2 linked regions of the Rhinolophus ferrumequinum genome follow. The protein of the gene in region 2 interacts with the protein of the main gene of each other region in a biochemical or structural test. Links are inferred from orthologs where the notes say so. Each region holds a gene or a part of one and is shown on either strand. Other genes may lie near its edges.

The links.
Region 1: the proteins of NUB1 (region 2) and UBD form a complex in vitro, tested with the Homo sapiens proteins (6 studies listed by BioGRID, with this or other methods). The link is inferred for Rhinolophus ferrumequinum from reciprocal best matches to the Homo sapiens genes NUB1 and UBD.

The regions. Positions count from the first base shown.
Region 1 is NC_046286.1:536,764-547,859, forward strand, and holds UBD (ubiquitin D), read right to left. Parts: upstream 5,012-11,096; 5' UTR 4,875-5,011; coding exon 4,857-4,874; intron 3,524-4,856; coding exon 3,053-3,523; 3' UTR 2,907-3,052; downstream 1-2,906. UniProt on the Homo sapiens protein: Ubiquitin-like protein modifier which can be covalently attached to target proteins and subsequently leads to their degradation by the 26S proteasome, in a NUB1-dependent manner.
Region 2 is NC_046309.1:3,627,403-3,638,148, reverse strand, and holds the start of NUB1 (NEDD8 ultimate buster 1), read left to right. Parts: upstream 1-5,319; 5' UTR 5,320-5,334; coding exon 5,335-5,418; exon of another isoform or gene 5,419-5,512; intron 5,513-8,175; exon of another isoform or gene 8,176-8,176; coding exon of another isoform or gene 8,177-8,182; coding exon 8,183-8,293; intron 8,294-8,745; coding exon 8,746-8,913; intron 8,914-9,041; coding exon 9,042-9,100; intron 9,101-10,155; coding exon 10,156-10,226; intron 10,227-10,746. UniProt on the Homo sapiens protein: Specific down-regulator of the NEDD8 conjugation system. Recruits NEDD8, UBD, and their conjugates to the proteasome for degradation. Isoform 1 promotes the degradation of NEDD8 more efficiently than isoform 2.

The sequences.
Region 1 (11,096 bases), on a different chromosome or scaffold from region 2:
CCCACAAGACTGTAGGTTCTGTGAGAATAGGAATATGCCCATGTTACTCACCTATGTACCACAGAGTAGTTGGAACTTAGGAGACTCTCAATTTAATGGATGGATGAATGAGAAGATTATCAATGCAATTATACTCAGGTTTTTATTTTAAAATCTGCTACTGTTTGTAGCTCTGATGTGATTTCACTTTTCATTGAAAGGGCTCATCAGCTTCAAGTCAAGTCGTTTTTCAGTGTTCTTTCCTCTACCCAGACGACTCTTATTTAAAGGTTGGTTCACATGTGCTGGCCTGTGTTGATCATGACCATCACACTAGATTATAAACAGGAGGGGCACGGACATTGGAAGCAGCCTGGAAGAGAGCCTCACCATAGATGAGCTCTCAGTAGTCAGCAGTATAATGGGTTGTATCAATACAAGTAGAGCACCTGAAATAAAGAAGGTGATAGTTCTGATCTCCCAAAGTATCGGTGACACCAAGCCTGGAATATTGCACTTACTTATAGGCACTACACAGTTCAGAGAAGGAAGACCGAGGCTCAGAGTAAAATCTGTCTTCAAATACCTGAAGGGCGATCATGTGGGAGGAAGATTAGATTTCTACTTTGGCCCGTAGGAATACAACCAGGACCAAGGAAGCAGTTGAAAGAGCACTGATGTGGAAATCAGACAGGCCTGAGTACAAGTCCCACAAGGCTACTCACTAGCTATGGCCTTGGAACAATGTAGCCTTTCTGAGCCTAAGGTCGTTCACCTATAAGATGGAGATTCTACTACCTTCCTCATAGAATCTGTTAAATACAGCCACTGAAGTATAGGAATATCAGGCTATCTCTCTAAACTAAGGGTCTAGATTTGTAAATGCGATTACAGTCGATAGCTGAGCGTTGTGCGGACTTCCATCCCCTCCCCCACACACTCCACATGCCCGGGTTTTCCTTTGCTTGTAAGGGGTAATGTCACCCTTTTGTATTTCGTCCTTCCAAGCACTGGGAGTCTTCCTCACACAGCACAGAGGAGCGCTTCCTCCTGCTGGGCTTCTCTGACTGGCCCTCCCTGCAGCCGGTCCTCTTTGTCCTTCTCCTCTGCCATCTGCCGACTCTGACCGACAGCTCGGCCCTGCGCCACCTGCGCCCGCACACGCCGCTGCACCACTTCCGCGGCCCCCTGGCCCTGGCGGAGGCGGCTTCGCCTTGAGCGTGGCGCGCCGCTGCTGGCCGCCCTGCGCGGCCCCGGCCCTGCGGCTGCGAGGCCCCGCGGAGCGCGTCGCTGGCGCCGGGCTCGGCGCGGTGCGGCCTGCGGGTGCCGGCGCTGGGTGGCGCCACGGCCGTGTGCCGCCCGCAGCGCGACCCGGACGCGGCTCGACGCAGCTCTGGGGGGCGCTGGCCGGCGCCGCCGCTTCTGGCGCTTCTGGCGCTGGCGCTCGGCTCGCCCGCCAGGCGGATCGCTTCGTCAGCGAGCTGCCCGCGCAGCTCCAGCTGGCCTGTGGCGGCGGCGGCTGCCGAGACGCCAGCGAGCGCTAGATGATCGCCGCCGCGTGCTCCTCCGCTGGTGCCGTCCGCGGCCATCCTGGACTCCAGTGGCGCCGTGGCCCGCGCCGTGTGGGGCATGCGGTCCAGCGGGGACCGGAGGAAAGCGGTGGACACGCGTGGGTCCCCACCTGACAGCCGGCTGCCTGTTCTTGTGTCTCCACGGTGTCTGCCACCAGGAGTCTCCCAAATTGACAAGACTCTACCTCACAGGAGACCCCATCCAGGAAAAGGAGCCACGGTCTCTGATATCGGGAAATCGTCCCAACCTAATGCCCACCTAGTCAGAGGACTTGGGCCCACCGCAGAGCACTTGACCCGTAAGTTGAAGGAGGAACGCCCATCCGCGTGCTTTGTGCTGGGTGGGGTTCAGTTGGGAAACTCTTCTTCAAGGAGGTGGTTCTTGGCAAGTTTTAAAGATACGAAGGGACTAGACTAGTGGAGAAGAAGGTGGACATGTCTCAGCTTGTGAGAAAAACGTGTCTGTGACCAGTAAGGGGACATGAGAGAGGGACAGTAAGACACAGAAGTAATTGAAGGGAGTGAGATGGAGAAAGCGACTCGAGTTCCCAAGAAAGAACCTGGTGCTAAAGGAAGCAGAAAGGAAAAAGCTCTGTCAGCCAGAACCTGGGCAGAGTGTTGGGGTCAATCCAGACACCAAGCCCCACCTCCCTCACCCAAACAGATGCCCCCAACTTACAGAAGACCTGCCAGGCCCTAAGGCAGGCAGCACAGACACTGGTCCACAATCCCCCACCTTTCAGAAAGTCCTTTCTCTTCTGAAGCAATCTGCCCCCCAAAATCCCCCACTACAGACACAAATCTCTAGATTCCCAGGGAAAATATATTTCCATGCCTACCATAATCCCCAGAAATGAGAACAATTTTCACTGGGTATGGGACAAGTAAGAGGGGGCACGGTGCCAGGTTTCATTTCATACCAACCAGCTTTAAATAAGGCGAGGGAAAGTAGTTTAATTGAATTTCTAAATTCTTTATTGACTAGATTGTAATCATGTAATTAATTCACTTCGTAGTAAACCGTTTCATTGTTCTCTATAAGGAGAAATTCAATTTGGTTCAACAATTACCATGTGATACGATAGATGAAGCACTGGTTTAAACATAGATGGAAACACAGAAATTAGTACAACGTGGATCCCAGCCTAAAACTTCCTATGTTGTCGGATGAGAAAGGAAATAGGAGTTTTTCTATATGTCAGAGGAAACCAAGGAAGGACTGAATTGCAAGCTGGCTTTGAATGCTATCTCTAATGTGCCTTAAATTTTTATTTTCTGTTTTCAGTAATATACACAATCCTGCCACTTAATCAATTATGTTAGAATCAAAGAATCATAGAGTTAAAAAGTATTCTGCAGTCTGACTCCCCACTCTAAATCTACTCTTTCTATATACCTCTTTCTCAATAATTTTGAGAAATCATCAAAGGTTGTGGTTGGTGAGTAAGAGCGAAAAGGAAATAAGCTCCTTTGCTCCAGAGATCACCCCATCCGCAGGGTGGTCACCCTCCAATGCAGTAGGGTGTCAAGAAGAGTAAATGGCCCGTTCTGATGTTATAATCTGCCATGATCTTCCCATCTTCCAGTCTCTTTCCATTGCAAGTCACAATCTGTTTCTCAGGGGTTATAGCAGTTTTGGTCTCAATCATCTTTTTCACCTCGGGCACTGAACTGGACCTTCGCACCTGGAGGAGGTGCCTCTGCCCCTCATCACCTGACTCCACCAGAAACAGGGGCAGCTCCTCATCACTGGGCCTCACCACCTTCAGGGTGAGGTGGATGGTGGTCTCCTTGTCAATGCCATAAGATGATAGCTTTCTCTGGGGCTTTAGGGTCTTCGAGCCCAGCTGGAGGACCTGGTCCTGCACAGGAACCTTGGTCTCAGACCGCACATGTTCCTGGATCTTCTTCACTCTGTCATGCAAGTTGGCAGTGAAGGTCATTGGTCCCCATTCCTGAGAATGGACATTCACCTGGACAATGAGGGCCAAGAGACAGTTACCAGGAATGCCTGCCCCGTTGTGTACCCCTTGTTCCCCCTCCTTAGTTTCTCCTGCACTTCACTGCCTGTCTGGTCCTCTGGCTGATTTTTAACAAGCTGTGTCCCTCCCTCTCTTGGAGCTTCTCTTTTTGAATTTCCAGGTTATAACACAGACAAGAAAGGCAGTCTTATTCCTTATAACCATACCTCTCATTCATCCCCAAAACATCATTAATAATTTCCCACCATATTTGCCTGCCTCCTACCTGGATAAACTTTGTCAAATGTCAAAAATTAAATACAACTACAGAGTACTCAAAGGTGTACGCCAGATTCTAAAAATAAATCCCAAAGATAATTTCCAAGATTTGGCACCTAAGGGGAAACTCGCGGGACTGCCCTCCATGTCCACGTCAGAAACAAACATGTTCTCTGTACTGTTTGTTTCTGTTTTAATGTCTCACTGCTTTATAATAATAACTTATTAGGTTGGTGCAAAAGTAATTGCCGTTTAAATTAAAAAAAAAAATTGCAAAAACCACAATTACTTTTGCACCAACCTAATACATAGTACAGTGACACTGTGTTCAATGTTACTTGTTCTTCTGTATTTCCCCTGTTTTTATATCTATCTATTGTAGAATACGATTTAGTCCTTTAATTAAAACAGGGCCTCACTCACAGAAGGTAAGGACTATATCTAAATTTTACTTCAGTAATCTGAAAAATGGAGAAGCTAACCCCTATGTTGTCACTTGAAAGCCTGGCAGGACCTCCCTCATGCTCCATTCAAACATATCTTCCCAATTTACATGTCACAGACATTTCTTCACTGGACTGTCACTCCTGCGCTAAGCATTGCCTTCATTCCAGGTTCTCTACATAGTGTTTATATTCTTATATAAGGTAATGTGTCAGGTCATTAACAACTCAGGATAAATGAGTTGTGTGAACGCCCCTTTTGGGAGGAGAAGGAAGTTCAAGTTTAAGTCATGAGCCCCTAAACAGGATGAGGAAAAAGGCTTAAGACAATATTTCCAGTTTCGAGTCTTGCCAGGCCTGTTGAGCACAAAGCGTACTCCCACTTCCTACCATTGATCCCTCACAACAGCCGGTCCAAGATCTGACCCAAAAGAGAACTCAGGAGCCAAATGACCAGCTTCTCTTCACAGAATGTTCCCTCACATTCTGTAGATATCAATGCCTATCTCATCCCCTCAAGAAGCCACCATGTCTCCCTGGGCACTCCCTCATCCATTCCTGAGACCCCCATCCCTTCGAGGTACTTTCTCTTTCCCTACCCCCATTGTCAAATCCCAACTTACACAGAGGGTCGAAGGCATCTCTGCACTGAAGGGAGCAGCAGGAACCAGAGACCAAGAAAACAGAGGATGAGGAGAACTGCGCCCGCTTATATACAAGGAGGCTGAGCTGGAAATCCCCTGCCTGTGTCTAGCTTCCTGTGCTCTTTGTTCTTGCATGGACTCATGGATTTTCTTTCACTTTCGCTGGAGTGAGTCAAAAAAACAAAACAAACTTTCTGATCAAGCGCTTCTCCTGTCAGCCAATCCATTTGCCCTCCTTCTTCCAAATATGGGATGGTCCTTCTCTGTTGAGAATTTTTCCCCGGTCAACAACCCACCACTTCCTGTCCTGGCTATGACTGACCAGCCTGCAGCCTTGGGCCTCAATGGCTTAAAGACCTTTGATGCTTGGTGGTCTTCTCCTACTGCTTTTAAGAGCCCTCATCAGTCAGGTTTTTTCCTGAGAGCAGGGCCGCCCAGGAGAGGACAGTCAGGGTTGATGTGGAGTGAGCAGCCTGTTCACACTATCCTGGCAGGATGTGTGAAGCATGACTTGAGAAAACATAGGATAAATAACCCTGGATCAGTCCCACTGACGGGAGCCACTTACTATATTACCTTGGGCAAGTCTGTCCACCATTTTAGATATTGGTTTTCTGGTTTATCAAATGAGATGAGTGGAAAGAATTCCTAAGTGTCTTCCAGCCTCACAAACCTTTGTTTATAAAACCTCCTTTACAAAGACCTTTCGATTCCCGGGTCTTGAGCTCTCTATCACTGTTCCTATCCTGTCCTGGGAACTGCAAACTGAATCCACCATGACTTGAGAACATTCCAAAGCCAACAATCAAAGGCTGACTCCCACTGTCCACACGCTAAAACAATCACACACTCACCCTCACACCACAGTGCCTCTGTTTGCCCAGCTTCACTCCCGGATACTCCTCACTACCGTGATCTCAGACATACCTACAGGTGCTGCTCACTCCCCAGCTCCTGAGATCTGGACGGGGACAAAGCAGTGCATGAGCTGTGCTTCTTCAGGGAATTCACTCAGTCACTCTTGATCCTCCTACTATTCCAGACTAATCACTTCCCTATCCCCAACTCTCAGGACATTGCCAAAAAACCCATTTAAAAAAGCACTTATTAAAAGTTCTCCAGATTTTTCAAAGTAAAAAGCCCGTAAAAATGCCAAGTTATCACCTTTGTTTGCTGCGTTTTCACTGAGGCCTTCACTCACGGATGGATCACAGATGATCCCGTATTATTCCAGGGGTTCCCATCTGGCAGAACTTGGATTCACAGAAGTGTCTACGTAAAGTAATGGGATCCAAGAGCATATTCCAATATTTCAAAAAGCCTATCCTGAACTATGTTCTTCTATGTGAAACTCTTATTAGATAATCAGTTAATCAAATTGGAAAAGCTGATTATTATTTGAACGCATTTTGTGGGGTTAGGCATGCTTCTTTAAACACACAGGATGAGTATGAAGGGGGAAGTGTGCTGTTGGAATAGGCAGGAAACCTTTGTTCCTTCTATTCTCCTTTCAGATACCTCTCCAGGTTCCTACTGTCCCGTGTTTAGAAACCAAGATTGGGACCTTTGGCTGCAGCACAGCAGAAAAGGACGGGTCTGCACCCACTGTCCAATAGGATTTGGGTATTCTGAAACATCACCAGTAACTAGGCAGAAAATGTCATATCAGGTTGAGGGTGATAAACCGGAAGCCCTGCAGCAGGAAAGGGATGGGGGATGGGCCTGGGAAAAGAGAAAGTAAAAGCTGTATGTGCCCTGACTTAAGTAAACTGCTTTCACATTTCAAATTTTATCTGCGCCCCTTACGCTCTCAGATCTTCACGTCATTTCTGGGAAAGAAGAAAGAGAGTAGATGGTTAAAGCTGTTTAGAATTAAATCACTCTCTTCTTGTACCTTTTCCTTGTTTTCCATTCTTGCCTCAGTAGCCTACACCATCTTGGGGCCAGTTCATTCTCAGGGGAAGCAGAGACCCTTAGCCAGAAGCTCCAGGAAGGAGAGCCCAGGAATGACATTTCCCAGTAATAGTATATGTCTGTTGATGCCCTCAGATCTATACTTACAGCCCAGATCTGAGCTGCAGAGCTGTACATCTAGGGGCTTCCATGCATGATTCCCTGAACTCCCTGCATACCCTTGAATATGCCAAGCTCTCTGCCACCAGGTCACTGAGCACACCTTTCCCTCCAACTCTGCCCCCAACTCCATGAAATTTATAAGAGTATGCAATGTAAGTAGCAGCTCTTCTGTCTTTTCATACTCTCTCTGGAAGCCTCTCGGAGCACTTTTCTCCAGCAATAGGATTATCTGCTTACTTGTCCTTTACCCCCATTAAAGAGTAGGAATCTTGAGGGTCAGGATTGTGTCTCCATTAACTTGTATCTTCAGCACTACTTGGACAAGCTGTCTGGCACTGTAAATAATAAATATTTACTAAATGAATGCATGAATAAGTAAGTGAATAAAAATGGAAACTGTTTAGTGAGTATTTATTATATTTCAGGAATTGCACAAGACATTATTAAATGGAAACTCATTAACTGTTCTAGCATTCTAATGAGGTAAATGTCAGTATCCTTATTGATTAGAAAGAAGCTAACTCACCCACAGTCGTTTTAGTAGTAGTTGCTAAGCGAACTAGTTGGGGGAAGGAATACAGAGAGCCAAAGGAAAGCAGAGGGTACGAGGGGCCTTAGGATGAATGAGAGCAAAGGGAGTTTCAGGGCCTATATGTACGCAGGTGTATCCCTGGGTGGCACACCCACACTGGACCAGCCTGTATATCCCTATTTGGCAGAGGTGAGCAAAGAGCCTGTGATTGCAGGGCCAGAGCCTGGAGGGAGGTCACAGCCTGCTGCAAACATAGATGAGAACTGCTCCCCCAGGACTGTGAGTGTTCAAAGTGCGAATGCCATGCAACTCCACGTGCAAATAGAGGAACCGCCCACTGGAGCTGGGGATTTCCAGCATAGAGTTACTCCAAGGGCAAGCCTGTGATCCCTCCAGGAAAAAATAATTCAGGGGATTCCCTACCCAGAGAGGACCTGGATTCTGAGAAACAGTGTCCTTTCAAGTAACAAAATAAAAAATCTGGACTCTGATCTTCCCTCTCCTCTCTCTCCTCCTTTCCTATGTGAAATTCCCTCCCAGCCCAAAGCCAGGGTGAGGAATGTCCAAGACATCTGGTGCCCCTTAACTGACCACAGGTAGGATTTCTTCTTGGAACCTGACCTCTTCCTTGCTTCTTACCACATTATCAATCTGTTTTCCCCTCTGGGTCGTGATAGGAAATTGTTTCAGAGGCAGAACTGAAAGATCTCTTTTCATTTGCCTTTTTATCAAATCCAGGAAACCAGCCAAGATCAAATATCACGCTATGGAGATATTGCCAGGTTATTAAACAAATGTCTCAGATAGCTACAAACCTCCCAACTCGGCCCTAGTGATAGGGTGCTATTGGACTAGTCACTGCCCCCAGTTGAGTCCTCCCTGGAGCAGAGGCCCCTTTCGCATCTCTCTAATAATGTCAATGAAAGAGTTTGTAAAATTACTATGAGATCTAGAATATTGCTTCAGCAATGCCAGCCAAACCCAATCAAAAAGTTACTGTGAATTCTCATTTATTGAAGGTTGGAAAGGAAAACAAACATAAAAACAATAAAACCTTGTCCACTCTCAAAGGACAATCTAAAATACCTATCCAGATTCAAAATGGACATGCCAAACTAAAGCAACTCAAATACCCTTTAGTAATGGGGAAACACATAACTGAATTGTAGAGTATCGTTAGCAGTAAAAATGGATGGATTATACCTACACGCAACAATATGGATCAATATACTAGCAACCTATTGAATGAAAAAAAACAAGACCAAGAAGACTACATAAAGTACGACACGCTTTATAAGTCTTCAACACATGCAAAACTACAGAGGGAAAGAGATACGCTACTTTCAAATTCAGAGTATGTTCACTTTTTAAAATAAATGAAACCTAGTCTAAATGCAGATACGAGTTACTTGAAGATTTTCAACAGGGAAAGAGGCATTTAGGAACCCTCTGACATCTCTTGTCATTTTCAGAGTCTAAAGTTTAACTATGAGAAATTAATGTTTGGTGAAAGCAATTTATTGAATGGTACTAATGTACGTTACTTATTATTTAATTTAGAGATGTAACATATTCACTCTATTAAAGGTAATGTTATGGTCTACAACATAAATGTTCTAAACAGAAACAAACACAAGCAAAACTGAACAATATAGTGTTTAGGACCATATACGTATGTATGCAAAAAAGCCGTTATAAAAATGTAAAAAAATGAGTGTTCATTTTGACACAATTATGCTTTAGAGTTTATGTAAGTTATATATATTCATTTGCAATATCAAAGTTTATGACAAAAATATAATTTAAAAAATTTTCATCTACATACCCGATAACCAAACAATTCCACGTTAGGAATTTTTTTTTTAATACAAAAAATTTTTGTGCAACTAATCGTTGAAATCCTTAAGAGGAACTGGATGCTGCAACAGCTGCCCTTTTGGGTTTAGGTGTTGTTCTTTCATGGAATCCGTGCCTGAATCTGCTGTATACAATTTTCAGGTATCTCATTCGACCAGTCCCAGTGGTATTTCATCTTTTAGCCTTGGCATTCCAGTTATACTCTCTCTTCCGCTTGGCAGCGTAGCCACATTTGCCGCGGGTAGACTTCTGAAGGTGGTACGCCTTAGAGCCACAGCAGCGGCATAATGTGTGCATCACATTGCAATGCTTTCCGTAGGATGAACTTCATCATCACACTTCTGTGGCCGAGACCAAAGAGCCACATTAGGAATTTATTCAATTAATATACCCATATATGTATGAAATAAGCTACGTACAAGATAATTCAGGTGGCATTATTTATAACAAAAAATGAAAACAACATTTATCAATAAGGAACTAAATAAATGAAGGTGTAGATAGTGAAATTAACTGAAAAAAAACAAGTTTCAAAGTATAGTATAATATTCTAGTGTTTAGAAAATAAAAAATATATATATACAAACACTGAAATATGCATATGATATCTCTGGGAGGAAATGTTACTCCTGGGGAGGGACACTGAATGTCTGAGTAACAAGAATGGGAAAGAGCCTTACTTTTCATCACATGCCTTGTCTTATTTTTGTTATTTATTTTTTTTAGTTTTTCGTCCTGTTATGTTTTACTTATTTAATAGTTAGTCAGATAGATAGATGGATAGATAGAGAGTGTGGAAAGGTGTATGTATCTGTTTTATGCTGTCATTGGCTCAGGACAGAACTGGCTATAAAATACCCACCAATGAGATCCAGTTTCAGTGATCATCACTAGTTGCCAAGTGTGAATCATTTATGTCAAGGAGATGGGAAGAAGTCTGTCTTATGTACATCCCACTCATGAAATTTTGAACTTTTAAGCTAACCACAAAACCACTTCCTGGACTTCTTCCCTAGCATGGAAATCAGACCATTTGCAAAGAGCCTTTTCACACTTGCATACTGTACTAACCAAACCCTGTTAACCCATCCAGATCCCTTCATTTGCATGGAAGACCTACATGAAAACCACAGTTGCAGTTTTTCGCTTTATAAACCCTGACTTTTTTTGTTCTCTTTAAAGTGCAATTTGGGTTGCTACCTGAATCTTCACCTTTCAGATTGCAGTCCTTTTGCTCACATGCTGTTTTTATTATTATTATTATTATTATCATTATTATTATTATACCTTAAATGTTTTTGGGTGTTGGTGGCAGGTGGGTGGCACAGTCAAATGACAATGAAGAGCTAGTAGTTATAATATGTTAACTATTGTGTCCCTGTGCTTTCCCTACTCCTGAAAACGGACCATCCACTAATATTTTACATACCACAAAACTTGGAAAGATTGATAATCTATACTATAATATTATTGGAAAGCAATGGAATCTAAAATTAGCTAAAATCAGATGCCAAACCTAACCAAAACAAAAATAAATGTAACTCAGGGACAATCACTGAGCCTAGTTCTGGGTCTGATAGCAATGTGTGAAAATTGTCTAAGCCAAAACAATAAATGGAATAACTAATGCACTCATAGCTGTAGGATGGTGTGTGGGCCAGTAGCCCAAGCCCACTTTGCAAAAGTCAGGCCAAGCTCTGCTTCCTACTTCTCATGTAAGTTATTTAACTGCCCTGAAGTTTAGTACTTCTTCT
Region 2 (10,746 bases):
GAACTTCTACAAAGAGATAGCGAGCATAAAAAAAAGGACATACAAACCATAAAAAAAGAACCAGTCAGAAGTGAAGAATACAATAAGTGAAATGAGGAATGCACTAGACAGAATCACCAGCGGACTAGGTGGAGCAGAGGATTGAATCAGTGATTTGGAAGACAAGGTAGCAGAAAACACCCAATCAAAGCAGCAAAAAGAAAAAAAATCCAAGAAAATGAGGATAGTTTCAGAGACCTCTGGGACAACATCACGGTAACAACATTCACATTATAAGGGTACCAGAAGGAGAAGAGAGAAAGCAAGGGATTGAGAACCTTTTGAAGAAATAATGACTGAAAACTTTCGTAACCTGGTGAAGGAAATAAACATACAAGTCCAGGAAGCATAGAGTCCCAAACAAGATGAACCCAAACAGGCCCACACCAAGACACATTATAATTAAAATGGCAAAGGTTAAAGACAAAGAGAGAATCCTAAAAGCAGCAAGAGAAAGGCAACTACCATGTTTCCCCGAAAATAAGACCTAGCTGGACAATAAGCTCTAATGCGTCTTTTGGAGCAAAAATTAATATAAGATCTGGTCTTATTTTACTATAAGACCAGATATTATATAATGTAACATAATATAATGTAATATAATATAATATAATATAATATAATATAATATAATATAATATAAGGTCTTTTACTAATTTTTGCTCCAAAAGACTCATTAGAGCTGATTGTCCAGCTGGGTCTTATTTTTGGGGAAACAGGGTATGATCAAGGATCCTGCTTGGTGAGATGTGTAGGGTACTATTCTGTCCCGCTCTTTGCCCTCCTGGTTGATTCTGGGCTTGGATGGAGGAATGAAATCTTTGCCTGCTTTGGGAGAAGAGGAGCCAAGGTGGAGATAGAACACGATAGTCCAGGATGAACAGGTATAATGAACCCTACTCGTCTCAAGTTTTATAGTGAAGGTCCCAGGATATACGCCCGGAAGGGTGTGGCTTGCAGAACATGGCACTGCGTTCTTGCCAGATACTTCTCTTGAGCTCTGACCCACACAAATTCTGACTCTCACCACCAGAGGGAACCCCAAACTCAGTATGATTTTGAAGGTTGGGGAGGTGTTGTCTTCCAAGTTTTGAACAACCCTGTACCCCTCACAATATCCTATTTTTCACCTAAAATTTTTCCTCACACGTTTAAATGGCTGCAAAGGATGTAACTCCAGGTTATTGCAAATATTGATATATTTAAAAAACAAAACTGTTATGTGACTCTTTGTATTCAGTGATACCTAAATACCATACCAATTTGATACACACCATTTAAAAATACATAAATAAGTTCTTCTTTAACCATTCCTTTCTCTTCATAAACTTGTCTTACCATCCACTTCCCTCACCTAATTTTATCCTAATATATGTTATGTTTGGAAGTCTTTTATGGATTATTCTTATCATACTTCTCAACAAAAATACAAATTGAAATTTAAGGAAATTTTATATCCTATGAACAAAAGTCTCTAAGTACTGAAGAGTTTCTTCTGGTTAGGGTTATCATCGCCATTATTAGTAATGTATATTTGATTAAAGCAATATAAATATGTTGCCAGTTTTGATAAATAATTGTTAAACTAAAAAAAGTAAAATTTTATTGGAAATCCATCTCTTAATGAGGTAAATGGCATTGTTTTTATTTTCCAATCAGTTTATTTATCTCTCTGCTGGAATAAGACACATAATTAACATCAATTCTGTTTCCTTCTTTTTTTGTTATAGACACTGGTACTAAGAAACTTTTTCATATAGATTAGTAGAAGGGAACGGAAGGGGTTTTTTTAAAGCAAGGTCACAAAATTGTTTGAACTCTTGAGTTATATGCCAGAAATCTCACAGTGGTCCATCTTTTGTAACTATTTTCAATGATCTATCAGCTGACAATATGATCAATTCTTACTGTCCTTCCGTGGTTATGTGGGGTTCCCATAGCATTAATATCGTCTTCCCTGAGTATTTATGCCATCAGTCTGTGGCCCACCTCCACTGTGAGTTTGTTCCTTCAGTCTGGGAAGAAACACTTCACACCATACGAACAGTGTATGCTGCACTCTTTTTAGGTTTTAGGCAATAAGTTTTATTTAGAAAACTGGGATAGTGGACATATCTGATTTTATCTTTTAATTGTCAGGCACAATACATGATTTATAATTTTCTGGAGTTAAGTTTAACAAAAGTAAATTATTCTAGTACCTTCTATCAGAAGGTTCTAAAACCACAAGCCTACAGCAATGATTAGTGACTTTCTTGCCTCCGTGTTCACCTTACTTTTCATTCACCCTTAAACTTAAAATTACAAAATGAATATTGTATATAAAATTTTTTTTAACATTGAAAATGGGTTAAACAATAAGACACAGATTATCCTGAACTTAATTCAATAGTATTGATACCATGGTTTGATTTACTTCATCATCTCTGTCCTTATGTCTTTATCTTTTCAGAGTCAGCATATCACCTACCCATCTACTGAGAGACAGATGAATGTAGGTACTTGAGTTAAATCTTTGGGACCAGAATATGTCAGAGATTCAAAACTAGGAAACAGAATTTGAGGACTACCTGTTTCCAGAAAGATTCTGCCAGAGTCATAGGTGAGCAGACCAAGCCCTTTCTGATAGTACCAGAGATGTAATCTCCCCGCTCACATTTCCTGGGAATCAGAGTAACTCTCTCATCTGACCTTTTCATAACTTCCTTCAGCTAATATCATATTCAAGGGTGATTGAAATTATATATTTCCCATCAGGTGTAAACAAATTTCCCTCTCTACCTGCTTGTTTCCTCTGTTCCTGCCATGTTCTTCTAGTGCAGCCAAGATGCCAAATAAAATGACTGAGTCTCCAAATACGGTTATCGGTGAAACTGAAAGCGTGTCAGACTGAAAGTGTTAGTCATCATTCAAATTCCCCCAAAATTCCAGTTTATAACCACTCCCCAGAAATTCCCATGTATAAATAGAGACATCAAGAATGAATTTCTTTTCTTTTTAAATCCACACCCCTCATTTCTAAAAAATGAGTTTACCACACAATGCCACCCATGGCAGGTCCACTGTTCTGATCAAAGCAACCATAAATAAAGCTGAAAAGCCAGAGCTTCCTGTTACTTTTCACTTTTCTACTAAGAATTGATAACATTCAGCATTAAGCTTCACCGTCATGCAAAGGTTGTTTAAGGATTTTCTGATTTTACTCAGGAGTTCCTTGATTCCACAAAACCTATAGCAACAAACACACAAACACAAATTGGGAAGAATTCTTCACCTCAAATAACTGAGGTTGAAGCCACTAAATGTCAGTCGTAGGAACAACAGAAAGAAGGCAAATTAATAAAATACAGCAAGAATAACAAAAGTTGAATTATTGGGTCAAAGAGAATATGCATTTTGATTTTGATAGACCCTGCCAGATATCCCTCCGAGGTGTTGTACCAATTTGTCGTTTCACCAGGAATTTATGAGTCGCTATTTCCACACAACCTTGCCATCATAGCATGTTATCAATTTTTTTCCAGTCTGATAGGTAAAAAGTGGTATCTGGTGTAGTTTTAATTTATATTTATCTCATTATGAGTGAGGTTAAGTAATTTTTCATATATTTGTGAACCATATTTCCTTTTCAGGGAATCATATTTTCATACCCTTTGTCCAGTTTTCTATTTTGGTCTCTTATCAAATTGTAAGAGCTCTTTATATATTAAAGATATTTGTCTTTGATGTGAATTGACAATAATTTCCCCCATTGGGCCATTTATTTGTCTTTTGCCTTGACTAAGAAGTTGATTTGGCCCAAGATAAAGCATTTTCATTTCAAAGATTATGTGTTTATGTACCCAAAGGAGCCTATTGAGACAGACTCTTATTTGGAAAGACAGAAATCTACCAGCTTTGTAGGCACTACTAGGCCAGTGGGCAATGCCTGCAAGTCCCAGATGAGGAAAAGGGAACTGAAATTCCTGTGCAGTGTGTGCAGAGTCCTTTCCGAGATGGGCAGGGAACACTGGCAGACACGGCATGTTTGGTAACACATTTCTCTTCCTTAATATGGATTTAGGTGTACATTCCGCCTAAGGCTTTCCATCAGAGAATGGAAGGGCACTAGGAGGAGGAGTCCTGCCTCCCCTCTCCTGGTGGAGGGTGTGAGGGGGTATGCAAAGCCTGGGTCAGACTATCTGCCTTAGGGCCCCCTGGTGTTATTCTAGACTCAATATGTCCATATTTGGAAATGTACTGCTGGGGCTAATCGTGTTCTGGGGGTTGTCCCGGTGTAGTGAGAGGGACAGACCCTGACCCGAGACTTTATCCACAGCGCCCCGTTGAGATAACACTCTGCCTGCGTGCACCGACCTATGCCCTCAGGTCGCACCCCATGACAGTGCTAGAGCAGGTCCAAGGATGGGCTAACAGCCTCATCCCAGCAAACTTTCTGGGGTCTGAGACGGACTCTTTCTAGCTTCCATTCTCAGTCCACCTTCCCGAGGCCGATCTAACCATCATCTCGCAAAGAGAGTTCTGCCAGGACCTGTGCTCAACCACCTGGGCTCTGGCCCTGTTCTCAGTGCATTTCTCAAATTGCACTTAGTTGTTCTGCATACTGTCTATTTTCCTCCACTGGACACACGGACACAGCCCGAACCACAGGTTTATTTGTATTTACCACAGCACGGGGCAGAGTGCTTCCGAAGTACCGCTTCGGATCTCCATCGATCTCGTCGTGGAGAGTGTGATGGATACGAGGTTTGCAGGGCCGGCATCGGGCAGCGAAGCTCAGGGCCAGGAGCAGGGAAGTTCGGGTGAAGTCACCAAACTTCCCCCTGAGAGGCGGCGGTGGTGGGTGATGGAGGGGGATAAAACCCAGAGGTTTAGGGGGGACAACGCATTTGGTCCGGCTTAGACGGAGGGGCGGGTGAGGGGTAGGGACCCTGCTGCAGGAGGTCCAGACCCAACCTCTGGGTCTTCCTGCAACGTGCTCTGGCCTCTTTCAAGGCTTTTGGAGAAACGAAGCCAGGCTCAATTTCCTCTGAAGGTGGGCAAACTGGGCCTGGCCAGCGGTTCCGCGGCGACACAGCCCCGGCTCCCGCGGTCTCCACCTCCCTCAATCCAGCCAGGTCCTCGCCCTGGCCCCGCCCGCCCTGGCCCCGCCCACAACCCTCCCCCGCTCGGTTAGCCCCGCCCACAGCCTGCCCAGGACCCCCGCCCAAGGACCGCCCCCGTATTAGCCCCGTTCATAAGCCTTCTTCCCGGTCGCGCGGGGGCGGCGGCGGGGCGGGGCCAGCCTCACCCGGAATGAAAACAAACGGCGGCCGCTGCCGCATCCGGGCACTCGGCGGGTCGCAGCGAGCACTGTGGTGGCGAGGTGAGGCGACAGCGGCCAAGCGTCCAGTCCTGGACTCGGGGTCTCAGCGGCGCGGCTTGGCGACCTCCGTCCCTGCCGCGATCGCGACGCCTCCCCCTCCCGAATCAGGTGCTGCCGCAGCGGCGGGCGGTGGGCGCCCTGCGCGGAGGCCCGGCCGGGACCGGGACCGGGACCGGGACCGGGACCGGGACCGCGACCGGGACCGCGACCGGGACCGCGACCGGGACCGCGACCGGGGGTTGCAGGTTGGGGCTTCGGGACGCGCCGGCGGTTCGCGGGGCTCTAGGTTTGCGCTGGGCTGGGCGGGGGGTGGTGAGGTATTAAAAAAAAATGCTGTTTTCGAGGGGGAGACAAATATATGTATACATTAAAATTAATTAGCCACACAAAAGCTTGAATCATAACGCAGTTATTCCACATGTTCCCTTTGGGATTTATTTGCAATCAAAGCCTGATTTTCTTTGCTGTTTAATGAGAGAACACGTTTGATTTTCTCCAACCTCGACGATCTGATTCTGTATTTCTCACCTTCCCTTACTCTTGTTTGTTACTACAAGAATCTTTTACTCCGCCTGAGAAAAAATTTAATGTATTTTGAATATATGTGTTTGAGGGGCTCTGGGTAAAGGTTGCGTAGATCAATTTATTTCAAAAGTGAAAGTGAAAATTTTCAAGGCGCGGTTTATGGTTTATAACGTTTCACTTTGAGTTTGGAGCGGTGGTTAGTGGATTTCTCCTTTTTGGGGGCTGTACGTGGAACATTGTATGGCACGCACAAAACTTTCATTTCTCCAGTTAAAACCGAAAACTGATCTTTTAAACCTTTTTTTCCTTTTGATTTGATTTAAAAATCTGTATGTTCAATTATTGTGTTATCTCTAACTGGAGTTTTGTTAAGTTTCACAACAGTGGTTTCATCTTTGGTTAAACATTAAGTGGTGCAGCCGGTAGAGCCTCCTTGCTAGTTATTAATATTTGCCCGGTGGGTGGAGTGAGGGACACACTGGGTGTATGAAACCTTTTGGGCCTTCTGTTGGTAGTTTCTTGGAGGGGATGGCAGAGGGCTGTGCATTCAGCCTTCCAAAGCTTTGCTCCAGTAAGCAGCCGGTGAAATGTCCCCCGCCCCCCATGATATTTTATGCAGAATTTCTGAAGATTTATGAGTAGGGAATTAACTTTGAGTGGTGGTCGTGTAAGTGATGTGTGTTTGAGAAGCTAATACCATCAGGACTAATACGTTTTTCTGTGTGAGAAGCAGTTCTCTAGTGCTGAAAGTCTAAGGTTCTTTTGTAGGTTGCCTGTTGGCACACAACCCCCGCCTTGAACGTATTTATTTCTTCCTTTCCTCCTCCTGTCCTGTTTATCCTCTTTCTCTCTCAAACTGATATAAAATAGATTAGAACTGTCTTTTAAAATACTAATTTATGGAATACACTTAAGTTTTCAAACTTGATTAAAAAATCAGCTGATTGGGTTTGGGGGAGTGTGGAATAGAGGCCCCGAAGAGAAAAAAGAAAGTTACTTCTCTAGGTTACCTTAACTCATATATTTTTCACTCTCTAGAATTTGTCTTCATCCTTCAGGATCTAATAACTTTTTACTCTTCTTACCGCTTGTCTGATTAGGCTGCACTACCCCTTTCAGCTGTTTCATACCCCAGGCAGCCTCGCCCACCCCTTTGAATTGCTCTGCTACTGAGGGCTGCGTAGCCAGCTCTGATGCCGGCAGGTGTTTCTTTGGGTGAGAGCAGTTAGTTACACACAGGACAGAGAAGCAGCAAGGGGTTTTGTGACGGAATGCAGAGTCGGATGTTGTAGGCAGCCGTCCCAGTGCTAGTGGGGTGCTGCCTAATTTTGTGACCTTGTCGGAGTCATTTTACAAACCTGGGGCCTGCGTTTTATCAGCTGTAAAATGATGAGCCAACCAATCTGTTATATATGTAGATCTGCTGTTGTGCTGTTGTCGTAAATATCACGCAATACTTTTCTAGTATTGTCAATACTAATTAATTAAAAACATTCAGATATAGGGAATATCTGGTATTGATAGTTCACGGCTCAACTAACTTATCTTTATGTTTTCCTACCAGGATAGTTAGTCTTTTGTTTCATGTTAAACTAGCCAAAAGATGAGAGACTTTATAAGCTCTGTGTTGTGTCTTATGAAAGTTCACTACTTTAGGAATTCATCTTTCTCTTATCTTTTCTCTTAGATCATAGAATAACAGATTAAGAAATAGAAAAGTGTGATAACCTTGCTACATATTAGCAACTTTGAAATACATATTTTAATGTACATACAATATATAATTGAATATATAATATATATTTCAGTATGTATGTTATACACAGAGGGTGCCGAAAAAAATGTATACACATTTTAAGAAAGGAAAACACTGTTAAACTTCTAATACTCAATATATACCGATAACGAAAAATGAATACAAGTCACATTTGAGTTCTGCAATTATAAGAGGTGCTCAAAGTGGTTACCATCAGTGTCCAGACACTTCTGATTATGGCGAACTACTACTTGAGCAACGTTGACCAAAGTGTCCACTTGTATACATTTTTTTGGCCTCCCCCGGTATATATTTTAGAGACATCTAGAGCTAGTTAAAACCTAATCTAAAAGTAATTGAGATTAAACTGGAGTGGGAAGAGTGTAGGGGACCTCTGCTTACTCTATAAAACACATCAACGTATTAGGTAGTTGTAAGACACTTTGAAAATGTGGTGTGGGTTATCATGTTGTGTTGTTTTGCTTTCAAGAATGGAGCAAAAGAAATATCTCCAAGCAAAACTGACCCAGTTTTTAAGGGAAGACAGAATTCAACTTTGGAAACCTCCATATACAGATGAAAATAAAGAAGCTAGTTTGGCATTGACGGTATTTTTCTTTTAAGATATAAATAATTAGCAGTGTTGTGTCTCCTTGGTGTCGACATAAGAATGTCCAAACTTGTAGAAATGTTTTCTGTTTTTTTTCCCCTCCAGTGGAGTTGTTCAGTTTGCTATTCCTTAAAGTAATTTTTTATATATTACAGTCACATAAGCGATAGCCCACCTTTCTATTCCCCCCTAGGATAATCCCAGTTATTTTCACTTTTTCTGTTGGGTCTGTTTTCCTACCCTTTTTTTGTTTTTATTTTTCCCTGGATCCTCTCTAACCTCTATACCTATTAAGATGTCAAACCAGTCTGGATTTCGCTGTAATAGGGGCGACCACTTGTCATCAGTTTTTGCCTTAGAGTCCTGCATGGACTGTTCTGTATTTTGCCACCCCCAGCTTTTTTTGAGTTGGCGCTACATTGATCAGTGTTTGCTGATATTTCTTCATAGGACCTCGCTAAGAAGTACGCGGACAAGCTAAAATGTCATGGAAATGAAGTAGAAAAGATACTAGAAGAAATACGTTGCAAAGCAATCGAGCGTGGCACAAGAAATGAAAATTTTAAGACAAAAGGAATTGCCACGATTGAGGTATTTCTACCTCGACAGCGAAGAAAAGTGAGTAATTTTCTCAAATTTACGTAGGTTCTAATGCTTAGTTAACTTAGTGATGTGATTGACTAAATTAAGATTTTTTTTTTAAAGCAACAGTCTGAAGTTACTTTCTTTATCTTATTTTTGAATAGGATAGGAACACCCTGTTGGAGACCCGATTGCACGTTAGTGGCAAAGAACTGAGGTCTAAGTAAGTACCTGTGTGCCCGGTGCCCCGGGTCCTGTTCCATTGGCTCGTTGGATCCTGTGGCCAGCCTCAAGAAGACAGAGGGCAGGTGTTATTCTCCTCACTTTAGGGAAGGGAAAATTGAGGCTTTGAGGCTGCAGGACTTACTCAGGCTCACACTGGTAGTTAAGTGCAAGTGAGAACTCGAAACTGGCACCACATTTCTTCCTGTCCTGGCACAACTTGAGTCATTGTCACAAATTATGATTTTGCAACCAGTACTAGTGATTTAGAATTTTTGGTGGGAACTCAGAGTCCACCACTTAACAGGTACTTGCTACATGTTTGAATTAATGAATGAGTGATAGAAATAGGAGACAGCCTGGTGTTCACCACATCATTAGCTTTGAACTTGCTTCCTCAGTGCACTAACAGCTTGCTGGGATGATCAGCAAAGTGTTTTAGCCGATTTCAGGCAGTTGGCTGATCTGCAAAAAGAAAAAATACCTGCCTGTCACACACTAGTGAAATTCTAACTTTTGAGTCTTGGTTGGTTATTCCATCCACTGGTATATTTTTGAATGACAAGTCTTTTCAGCACCTCCAGGGCTAGCCAAGCCCGGGTTTCTGAAGCTGATTTTTCTCACTTTCTTCTTTGGTCTACATCGGGGCTGTTAGGGTTGGATTCAGGAGGCATCATTCATTCAACCTGCATGAGCAGGAGATTGTGTGGAACAGCCACCTACTATGGGTTCCTCCCAGGAGACCGTGGAAGATAGAGAATGTACTTTCTCCTGACATGCATCTAGGGCTCACCTGTTCAAATGGATGTGCCACACCAGTGGTCTCCACTTGAGGAGGAAACAAGTAGTATAACAGTTTGAAAAGGAACATATCTCTTGCGCAGTTTCAAGTAACCATCTTGTAAGCTGGCTTTATCGTGAAGTGATGTTTGTAAGTCAGTAAATTGAAATAGTGCGTGTTTCTGAGTAAAACGTATAAAATAGCTATCATGACTAAAATCTTAATGGAAAATAACAAATTTGATTACCTACAGTTTTCACTGGTTTGTTTTACAGAATAGCTGAAACCTTTGGATTTCAAGAAAATTATATCAAAATTATCATAAATAAGAAACAACTTCAACTAGGTATGTTATGGCAAACTATGCAGCATTTTAAAATCAAGAAATAATGACTTTGTAACTTTTTTTCTCTTTATTCACAAATTTCTAGTGATTTTATTGCATGTATAATCCAAAAACAATTATTTTAGAGTTTACTAAAATAAAAATGTAAAGCAGAAAAACTTTTCTAATAAATATCTGTCTGCTAGTAGGGAAGAAAGACACTATCAGTCTGACAAAAGGTTACACAATGGAAGTGTTGGGTGTGCTGAGAGGAAGATTGGGGTTCCAGAACATTCTCCCTGAGGGAGACGAGCTAAAGCTGAGTGAGGACGGGAAGGCTGTGGTGGGGAGTATTCCAGACTGAGAGAGCCTCATGGTGGAGCCACGTGATGGAAATTGAAAGAACTGAGAAAGGGTCCAGGGTGGCCGAGTGTGGACAGTGAGGGAGGGCAACTCTGTTTAAGGCAGAGGTCACACAGGAAAGGGGGTAGCAGTGGCAAAATCACCACCTAGGGGACACTTGGCAAAGTCTAGAGACATT